2 linked regions of the Macaca mulatta genome follow. The protein of the gene in region 2 binds, or shares a complex with, the protein of the main gene of each other region. Links are inferred from orthologs where the notes say so. Each region holds a gene or a part of one and is shown on either strand. Other genes may lie near its edges.

The links. The genes of interacting proteins can lie anywhere in the genome.
Region 1: the proteins of PTH1R (region 2) and PTH are in contact, whole or in part, in a cryo-EM structure (PDB 9JR3), measured with the Homo sapiens proteins. The link is inferred for Macaca mulatta from reciprocal best matches to the Homo sapiens genes PTH1R and PTH. Residues at the interface, in NP_000307.1 of Homo sapiens: Val31, Met32, Thr33, Lys34, Glu35, Gln37, Ile38, Leu41, Glu111, Trp112, Asp113, His114, Ile115, Ile135, Tyr136, Asp137, Phe138, Arg146, Arg162, Thr163, Ala165, Tyr167, Val171, Leu174, Thr175, Glu177, Glu180, Arg181, Phe184, Leu187; in NP_000306.1 of Homo sapiens: Ser32, Val33, Ser34, Glu35, Ile36, Gln37, Leu38, Met39, His40, Asn41, Leu42, Gly43, Lys44, His45, Leu46, Asn47, Glu50, Arg51, Val52, Glu53, Trp54, Leu55, Arg56, Lys58, Leu59, Asp61, Val62, His63, Asn64, Phe65.

What each region holds. Positions count from the first base shown.
Region 1 is NC_133419.1:51,927,325-51,933,117, reverse strand, and holds PTH (parathyroid hormone), read right to left. Parts: upstream 3,493-5,793; 5' UTR 3,406-3,492; intron 1,752-3,405; 5' UTR 1,747-1,751; coding exon 1,661-1,746; intron 1,558-1,660; coding exon 1,296-1,557; 3' UTR 939-1,295; downstream 1-938. UniProt on the Homo sapiens protein: Parathyroid hormone elevates calcium level by dissolving the salts in bone and preventing their renal excretion. Acts by binding to its receptor, PTH1R, activating G protein-coupled receptor signaling.
Region 2 is NC_133407.1:110,216,328-110,220,566, forward strand, and holds the start of PTH1R (parathyroid hormone/parathyroid hormone-related peptide receptor), read left to right. Parts: upstream 1-1,439; 5' UTR 1,440-1,806; intron 1,807-3,069; exon of another isoform or gene 3,070-3,223; intron 3,224-4,239.

The sequences.
Region 1 (5,793 bases), on a different chromosome or scaffold from region 2:
GGGAAACCCTCCTACTTCTTTTCATCTAATTAACTCTTACTCATGTTTCTTATTCAACTGGATCATCTTGAGATTGAACTATACTGTTCAGTACAGTATAGTAGCCACTACCATATGTGGCTATTCATATTTTTAATTTTATAATTTTATTTAAATTAGTTTTAAATTAAATTTAAATTTTAAAATCGTTCAAATTGACCAAGGGATTGAAAATAAAAATAAGTAGATAAAAATCAGTCATCAGTCACACTATCCACATTTTATATAAATGAACATGTGGCTACCACATTGGACAACACAGAATACAGAACATTTTTGTCATCACAGAGAGTTCTGTTGGACAGCACTGATCTAAGTACATTAGGGCTCTGTATTTTATACTCCTGCAATATCGTGTGCTGTGCTTACATAGCACTTATCAAACTAAATTATGGATTAATAATATCTGGCTTCTCCATTAAATCTTAGGCCTCATGAAGACAGAAACCATGTCTGTTTTGTTTACCGTTGTATGCTAGTGCCTAAGACAGTACATGACAAATAAATAAACACTAAATAAATATTTGTCAAATGACAAATGAATGAATGAAATTATCTTCTAATAGATATAAACATTCTATTTCTTGCAATTTTGGGTCCAGACTAGAACTATGATTAGTGGGTTTTTATGTAGGGGCAAATACTTTTTTCAAGTTTCAGACCACTTCATGCCCCTTTTTTTTGCTGAGCATTTTATTTCCTTTCCTGAAACCAAGAGGACAACAGTATTTAGCCACTGAAAATTGGGAAACCTCGTACTTTGGTAATACTAAAAGGTTGATGTTCAAAATATCCAAATGTGAAGCACATGATTAAAAAAATACTTTGTATTGTTCTACCTAGTCATGATCAATGTAAACATCTGGGTATCCATCATAACCAAAAAGATATACTTGCAATGAGTGAGAAATACTTCATTTATTTAGACTTATGATCATTACATTTTTGTTTTACATTTTAAGGTAGAAGAGAGGTTTAAAAGTGCAATTTTATTCTTTTATAAATTATGCAATAACATACTTTAAAAAGAATAAACTATAGAAAAGAATAATTAAAATAACTCTTAAATGCATAAAAGTAGAATCAAAATAATCAATTAAAATTGCAGCTATCATGGCTAGTGATGGATTATATGTAGTTTGTTATATCAGAGATATTGGTACTTGGAAATCTTAATAGAGCTTTGAAAAATTAGCAGCATGTATCGTTGCCCTACACTGTCTAGAGCAGAACTCTGACCATATCTATTTTCATTTTCATTGGGATTTAGCTTTAGTTAATACATCCACATCAGCTTTGTCTGCCTCTCCAAGACTTTTTTCATGGCTCTCTACCAAGATATTGTCTTCCTTTTTTCGGGGCCTCTGGGAACCAGCATCTCTGGGAGCTAGAGGAGCTCCAAGGGCAATAAAATTGTGCACATCCTGCAGCTTCTTACGCAGCCATTCTACTCTCTCCATCGAGTTCAGATGTTTTCCCAGGTTATGCATAAGCTGTATTTCACTCACAGATCTCTTCCTGGGAAGAAGAGAAACAGAGAGGGCCACTTCCCATTAGCTCCCCACTTCAAAATGATAAAGTCAACATTAAAAATCCAATTCCCAGGCAAAACAGTACTTACTTAACAGATTTCCCATCTGATTTTGTAAGAAAGCAAATTGCCAACATGACAATCATTACTTTAGCCATGTCTTTTGCAGGTATCATCTTCACTAAAAGGAAAGGCAAAATGGAGGTATTTTAAAATACTTTTAATATTCAAAACTATAGTACACAGAATGCAATACTAACTAATTGGGTTGGTTTTCATGAGAAGCTTTTGGAACCAACCTCTTTATTTTATGGATACACTAGTATACATTATATATACACATAATTTAACTTAGAAATTAGTTTTATGCTCCTAACTATCTTTTGGAGATTTCTTGTGCAAGTTTTAATATATAAATCTTAAGCCACAAGAGGAATGAAAGAGCTTATTTTTGAGAATGCCCCCCCGCACTGCATTTTATGTTGATTATGCCTAAATGCTTATAACTTGCTTGAAAATGGCTAATTTTCTTAATAGTGTAAATTGTTAACACTGTTTATTTACTTAGCAAATCCCTTTCTTAAGTAAACTTCATTTCAGGCATTGTAATAATAACCATAAACACCAAACAAATAGGTGCTAATTTAGAGATTTTCACTAAATTAATGCACATTTCTCCTAGCATTAAAAATAATGTGTCAAAACATTTAAAAATCATCTGATTGATTACTTGTGATATGGATTTTGAGCTTTATCTCTAAATGGAATGCTTGTATTTTATTTATTCAACCTATTTTATTAACAATTATCTTTTAATATAACGTTTGTCTCTTTCTTCGTTTCACATCGATGTAGGATATTCTTGCCTTAATCAGCATTTCAGTACTTGCAAAGGCTGTTATTATAGAAGTGCTTTTCCTTAATGCTCAGTGTACTACATTTTAACATACACATAGAGTAGTTATGTTTTACAGGGAAACTCATCATTTAGAAGTAGCATAGGAAATATAATCTGCTACATTTTTGTTTACTCTACAATATAAAGCTATTGATGGAGCAACATGAAAATGTTCTTTTTCTGTTTATGTTAGAAACAAGCACTGTAGCTGGAGGACAGGAGCACTGGAGTCTAATCTTACTTTGTCATATTCATCTAGTGACCTCAGATATCTCTGCTTTGCTTCCTTGTCTTCACAGGAATATGGGCTTCTTATAAGAATATCATGAAAAAAAGCTGAAAAATTGTTGCAAAACACCCTTAAATTCATGTAATACAATTTCATGAAATTAAGGAGATACAGTTTTCAGAATAGAACTGTCATTTATGTGAAAGGAATAAATATTCACTAGTCAAACTGTGCTTGTCCAACTTTAGTATACAGATTGGGCTCTTTATGAGCCATAAAATAAATAATCTAAATAAGAATACTCTGCAGGAAAAATAGAATATTAACTCCACTTAATACATTTATAGTGATTATTTAAACCAGAACTATTCATTCACCATCAGCCTGTTTTATTTCAAAATTTTGATACCAATACTATTATATTAAAGCATAGCATGCCAAATTTTAATGATTTTTTGCTATAATTTCAGATGAGTTTTTAAAAAGCAAGGTATCTCAGAAGACTTTAATCACAATGTATTTTGTGATTTGAGAGTATTTTAATGGTATTAATTTATTTTGTATGTGACATTTTATATTAAACATAACACTCTTAGCATTTTACCTTGAAGAAATAACATGGTATTTGTAGAAATGGTACACATTAAATAATAACTTGATTATCAAAAATCTCATGAGATTCAGAAGTGAATTTTTAAGATTACTTACCATGCAATGTCTTAGAACAAAATCTTCTTTCAGGTATATTAGGAGCTGATGTTGAGTAAACTAAAGACAACTGATGAATTGGACTGCAGACCCTTAAATGTGACTTTTATATATAGATCTTCTGCTTGCCAAGAGAGGCTCTTTTATTGTTACAGATGATGTCACTCCCAATTCTCTGGATCTCACCTATAGGTTCAAAGCAGCACATACACACACCCACAGGGCGGTGCACACTCTTCTTAAGTTTTGGTTAGTTGGATACTAAAAGGAAAACAGCATTTGGCTTGAAAAGGGGCTTATGCAAAGACTTTTAACAAATACAGAATTATGCCACCTAGAAAAATTCTACCTGGATTAATGAATCTGAATTTAAACTGTGAAAAGACTGATTTCAAAGATATATGATAAAGTCATTATCTTACTTGAAAATAAAATCCAAAAATAAGTATATTTGTTATAACCATACTGTTGGTACAATTTTATGATAATAAATCATAGATGTTATGCTTATTTTACAAGCCATTTTCAACCAATCCATGTCACTTCTGGTCATCTTTCAAAAAGATGTAGCCCTTTTCTTAAAGGAATTGTTAAAAATAATTGGAGAAAATTCTCTTGGTACATAATTACTTTAAAAGCTTCAAAAGTGAAATTATTTTAAAATTTATTTAAGTTATATTTTATTTGTGCATCTTAATCTGTAATAACAACATTTGATAAGCACTAACTGCATGCCTAATTACATACATTATCCCACTAGATCTTCACAGCAGTCCTTTAAAGTTAGTACTTAAAGTACTAAAGTAGGTACTTATCCCCATTTTTACATGAGGAAACTTAGGCTTGGAAAGCAGAAAAGATGGAATTCAACAAAGGTCTTTATGACACCCGATTCTTACTACCTCAGTTTCTGCCTAAAAATATAGCCCTTCTTTGAACTCCAGTCTTGACTTTAATTTGCAAAGTCATCTGAAATCACAGCAAAAACTCATTGCAGCATTTTCCCCCAGGAGTTAAGTCTTTATTCTCATGTTCCCTAAGGGATGATGAGAGCCTGCTCCAAAACCTAATGGGGCATGATGCTGCTACATGTCTGACTTCAAATATTGCTCCAGCAATAATTGCCTGGTCCACCTATCAAAACACGTTGAATGTCTTTGATATATCTAGGACTCCTTTAGACAGCTTTGCTTTCCCACCAAAGATCCGGTTACAGAGTGGGATCTGCTCTCTCAGCTCTGGTCCCATTCTGGCTTCATGTCATCCTTTTCCTACTAGCCATTGTCAAGGTTTGACTCTACCTTAGGTAAGAGCCGGTACAAATTTGAATAGTAACCATATGGAGTTTATAATGAGAGATATATACTAGTCCTTCCCTAGGAAATTCTCTGCTCTGGGTAAACCTCACTTAGAGTGTTGCTCCAGGCTCCATTTTAGAAGTAGTAGAGACAAATGGGAACATATATTGAGGATATCAATCAGTTTGGTGAAAATGTTGAAAACTATAACATGAGAAGTAGTTGAATGAAATTAGAAAAGTCTGAGGAAAGAAAGATGGGATGACTTTATAGCTGTGTTTAGTTATAGGGTTACCATAAGGAAGGAGTATTCTCTGTGGTTTAAGAAGGAAGGGCTGGGTTCATAGGGCTTAAACTGGACATTATAATTGTCAAAATAAGGAATCAAGTACCTTCTCAAATAATGATTTCTCCATCACTGAGAATATTCAAGTAGAAGGTAGATAAGCATTTATCAGGTGTCCTATGGAGATTCATACATAGATGAAGGTTGAACTAGATAACCAAGAGGTCTCTTTTAACTGTAAAAATCTGTTGTCTTGATCTTTTTAAAGACCTCTTCTGATGTAAACTCTACATGTGATGTTTGTGTATCATTTTTCTGTTATACTCTGTTGAGAAGAAGAATTGGAAATACAAATGGTTTTTCTTTTTTCTTTGAGATGGGGTCTTACTCTATCTCTCAGACTGGAGTGGTGCAGTGGCATGGACATGGCAGCCTCAACTTTCTGGGCTCAAGCAATCCTTCCACCTCAGCCTCCTGAGTAATTGGGGCTATAGGCACACAGCACCGCAACCAGCTAATTTTTAAATTTTTTCTAGAGGCAGGGTCTAGCTAAATTGCCCAGGCTGTCCTTGGCTCAAGCAGTCCTCCCACCTCTCACTCCCAAAGTGCTGGGATTACAGGCATGAGCCACCATACCCAACCACAAATGGATTTTTATTTTCTAACTTTTAAGTTCGGAGGTACATGTACAGGCCTGTTATATAGGTAAACTCATGTTGTGTAGGTTTGTTATACTAATTATATCATGACCCAGGTATTAAGCTTAGTGCCCATTAGTTATTTTTCCTGATCCTCCCCCTCCTT
Region 2 (4,239 bases):
GAGGGGAGAAAGGCCTTCAGGTTTTCAGATTCCCAGGTCTACTTGCATCCAAGACTCAAGTGCTTGGGCACTTTACAGATCCCCTTTGAGCCTGAAACTGCCCAACTGTTAACAACAGATCAGGAAACTGAGGCCATGAGGAGGAAGGGGTCTGGCTCAGGGCTCCACACGTCAGAGCAGAACAGGCCTCAGCCTCCTGCTTCCCTGGCCAGGGAGGACGGGGCCTGTGGGCAGAGCAGGGCAGTGCATGTGGACTCAGGGGAAGGAGAGGCTCTGGCGGTCGAGAGCCAGGGCAACAGGGAGGCTTGACAGAGCACAGGGGAGCTCTCCCTCCTTTGGGCACAACTGCCCACTGACTCCCGCTGGTGTGGTCACAGAATGGCCTACGTGTCCCGAGATACCCCTTGGAGCAGTGCACTTCAGAGCAGCTGGGGCAGGAGCACCGTAAGTGCTGTTTGTCATAGTTTCACTATGTCCTCTGGCCAGTCCATTCTGCTTTTTGGTCCCGTTTCCCCCACCTGGAGGCCAGGTATCACCGAGCTCCCTGCCTCCCCGTCTAACTTGCGAAACAAAAAGTACTTTGGAAACTCTAATGAGTGGTACCCTCCCCAGGACCCTGGAAGACCCAGGGAGGGGGGCCCTAGGAACGTGCCCAATGGCTGAGGGTGGTTGGGGCCAGCTGCCTCACATGCAGGGCGCTGGGGGCTACAGCTGGAATGTGCTGAGTGGCAGCTGCCACGTGAATCATTATACCTCATCAGGCTGAGCCTAGGACTTCCAGACACAAACCAGCTCAGACTGGGCTCAGGCAGAAGGGCAGCCTCCAGCCGGGTCACAGGGCTGGGGATGAGGCTTCTGGGATCTTGCAGGGTCTCTGTCTCCCTGTCTGCCCACATCTTCATCCTGAGCAACCAGCCCTGGTTCTGAACACAGCTCGTTCTACAGACCCACAGAGAGGTCATCCTGTCCACAGCCCCCTGCCTTTGGGACCTGTGACGGCTTAAGCAGACCCTGGGCCTGGAAGGGCCTGGGAGGCAGATAGAGAGGGCTTCCTGGCTGACTCCTCACCAGGAGCCCACATTCCAGTGGGCAAGGAGTCAGATATGGGGTGACTGTGGGGCTGTAGGGGTCAGGACACGGGCAGGAGTGGAATGACGCCCCCACCCCAATCTCTTCCGTCTAGGAGCCACTGGGTACCCAGTGCTGGCAGATCAGGCTTTCTTGGGCCTCAGTTGTCCTGCCCGTGACACAGGCAAGAACCACCTCCAGCCCCCCTCTGATTTCTCTGGGTGCCTTAAACTTGAGTGAAGTCACTAGTAGGGGCTGTGTTCATACCTCATGGCGGCCTGATATTCCTGAGATGTGGAAAGGACCAGAGGGTCAGACAGGGACACAGAGACTAAGAGAGAGGCGTGGCAGGGCAAGGGGAGGACTACTGAGGCACACACACATGTCTGGCAGCCTGAGTGGGCCCGGTTACCTGGCAGGCAGACCCATGGGTGCTGAGATGAGGGCCCAACCCAGGGCATCTGAACACTGGCATGCTTGGATCTGTCTCTGTTGCCTCCTACTCCTGACTAGGGGTCTGGGACAAAGTCCTGGGCCAGTGTAGGGCTTGGTAAAAAATAATTAATTTTTCTTTTCAAGTGGAAGCTCTGACTCAGGCCTTTTCCTGTCCTCAGCAGCGCTATCCTTGCTTAGGCCTGAGCCACAGAAGCTGCTCAGGGACTATCCATGGCCTCCCCGTGGCCAACTTGAGTCTGCTCTGCAGTTGTAGGCCCGACTTGGAAGGCCCGTGGGCTCCAGGTGAGTGGGGGCCAGGGGAGCCTGGGGGCCTGAGCACAGCTGGGAGGTCCAAGTCTGTGGTTTCCCCGGGGGTGAGTATGTAAGTACCTGGGCCGGCCGTGCTGTGGGGTAGACAAGACATGCCTGCATGGAGACACATCTGTGGACCTGGTGTTATGACAGCAGGGGGCTTGTAACCATGAGGCCAGCAGGGACAGAAAGCCCATACCTCTAGCTCTTTGGGAGTGCTCCCTGGCTGGGACAGAGCCTGCTGGCCCCACGTGCCCCCATCGTCCCTCCCTTCATCTTCCTGAGAAGCAAGAAAGCCGGGCAGCCGTGCTTCTGCTGCAAGGGGAGGGGGCTGCCCAGCCAGCTGCCATGGGAGCCTCCAGCGACTCCGCCGGGTGTCAGGGGGTGTTTATGAGCAGCCGAAATGGCTGTAAAAGTGGCACCTCGCTTCACTTATGGCCTGGCCATCCCCTCCCCTACTGGCCTCTTGCCTCAAAAAGCTTCCAGAGGGGCCTGGAAGCTGAGAGAGGTCTGGGTGGAGGCACAGCTTGGGGTCAGAGTTCAGCCAGGGGCTAGAAATCAGATTGGGATAAGAACTCAGCCTGAGGCTGGGGCTCATCATGGAGATAGAGCTTAGTCTGGGATCAGGGCTAAGCTTGGATGCAGGCTGACTTTGGGGCTAGTGTTGGGATGAAGCAGTGGGGGAATATAAGGACTCAGAAATAGATAGATGTGAGCCATTAGTCCCAGAGAATCCCTGGTCCGGGCAAGGGCAAGGGGTTTTCTGAGGGAGGGAACCAGGCTGCATTGTTCAGAGAGCTGAGCCTCTGCCTTGCTTGTTGGTGTCTGATGCCCACCCTGGCCCCAGGGTCTGTGTACCTTGGCCAGAGCCCTAGTCACAGTGGGATGGCTGCAGCAGAGGCCTGTCAGCCTGGGGCTGCCACACCAGCAGGGGTGGGGCCAGAGTCCGGCCCCTACTGCAGTTCTGAGATCCAGTGACCACCCTGGCTCCTCCTCCTAGGCCCCAGCCTGGGGATTAGAGACAGGGACTCACTCCTACTCCCCACCTCCAGCCAGGCCTTGTCAAACGCCAGTGAAACTAACACTGACCTGACACTAACCAGAAACTGACTAACCAGGCCCCTGGGGCCTGCTTGTCAAAAAGGGCAAGCTGACTCTGCCAGGTGCTTGGGTGCTACCAGTTAATGTGTGACACCCCCACCCTCATGGTGGCACTTTAACCAGAGGCCTGAGGGTGAGAGAGAGGATCTGTGGCCCCACCCACAGCTGTGGAATGTCCAGCAGGGGACTATGGGGTGAGGCACATGAGTTATGGCAAGGGGAATGCCCTTAAGGGGCCCAGCACCCATCAAAGATTCCTCTCTGCAGCCCTCTCCACAGCCCACTCTGGTCCTCCCAAGTACAAACAGTAAGTTTCCAAATCTCAAGTTTTCCCTGGTGTCAGATCTGAAAAGATCTCCTCCCTCAGCCTCTAGTTTTATCTCTCAGTCCTTCCAATCCCTCCATTAATGTTCTTTTCTCATCACCAAGGGGGAAAGCAGGGTGGGAGATCAGTGGTCACAGAACCATAAAACTGAGAGACACAGAAACAGGCATAGGCCAGGTGTGGTGGTTCATGCCTGTAATCCCAGCACTTTGGGAGGCCGAGGCAGGAGGATTGCTTGAGACCAAGAGTTGGAGACCAGCCTAGGCAACAAAGTGAGACCTCGTCTCTACAAAAAAAAAAAAAAAAATTTAATTACCCAGGTGTGGTGGCTCATGCCTGTGGTCCCAGCTACATGAGAGGCTGAGGTGGGAGGATTGCTTGAGCCCAGGAGGTCCAGGCTGCTATGAGCCGTGACCGTGCCACTGTATTCCAGCCTAGGTGACAGGGCAAGATCCTGTCTGGAAAAAAAAAAAATGCTGGGTGTGGTGGCTCACGCCTGTAATCTCAACACTTTGGGAGGCCGAGGCAGGTAGATCACTTGAGGCCAGGAGTTTGAAACCAGCCTGGCCAACATGTAGAAACCCCATCTCCAGTAAAAATGCAAAAATTAGCCAGGCGTGGCGGTGCACAACTGTAATGCCAGCTACTCGGGAGGCTGAGGCCAAATAATTGCTTGAACCTGGGAGGTGGAGGTTGCAGTCAGCCAAGATCACACCACTGCACTCCAGCCTGGGCAACAGCTCTGTCTCAAAAAAGAAAAGAAACAGAGGCATAATAAAGCTGAGACCATTAAAATATAACACCGAAGAACCACAAGTGTTCTTTAGGTGCCCATTCTGGCACCTGGGCCTCTGTCCCAAGGAGCCTACATACCATAGGAGGCAGCCCTGAAATCACAACCTCCCTCCCCAGTAATGGAGGATGTGGGCACACAAGGAGGGAGGGAAGTGTCCTTTACACCAGGCAGAGGAGTATGATCCTGGCAGAGGAAGCAGCAA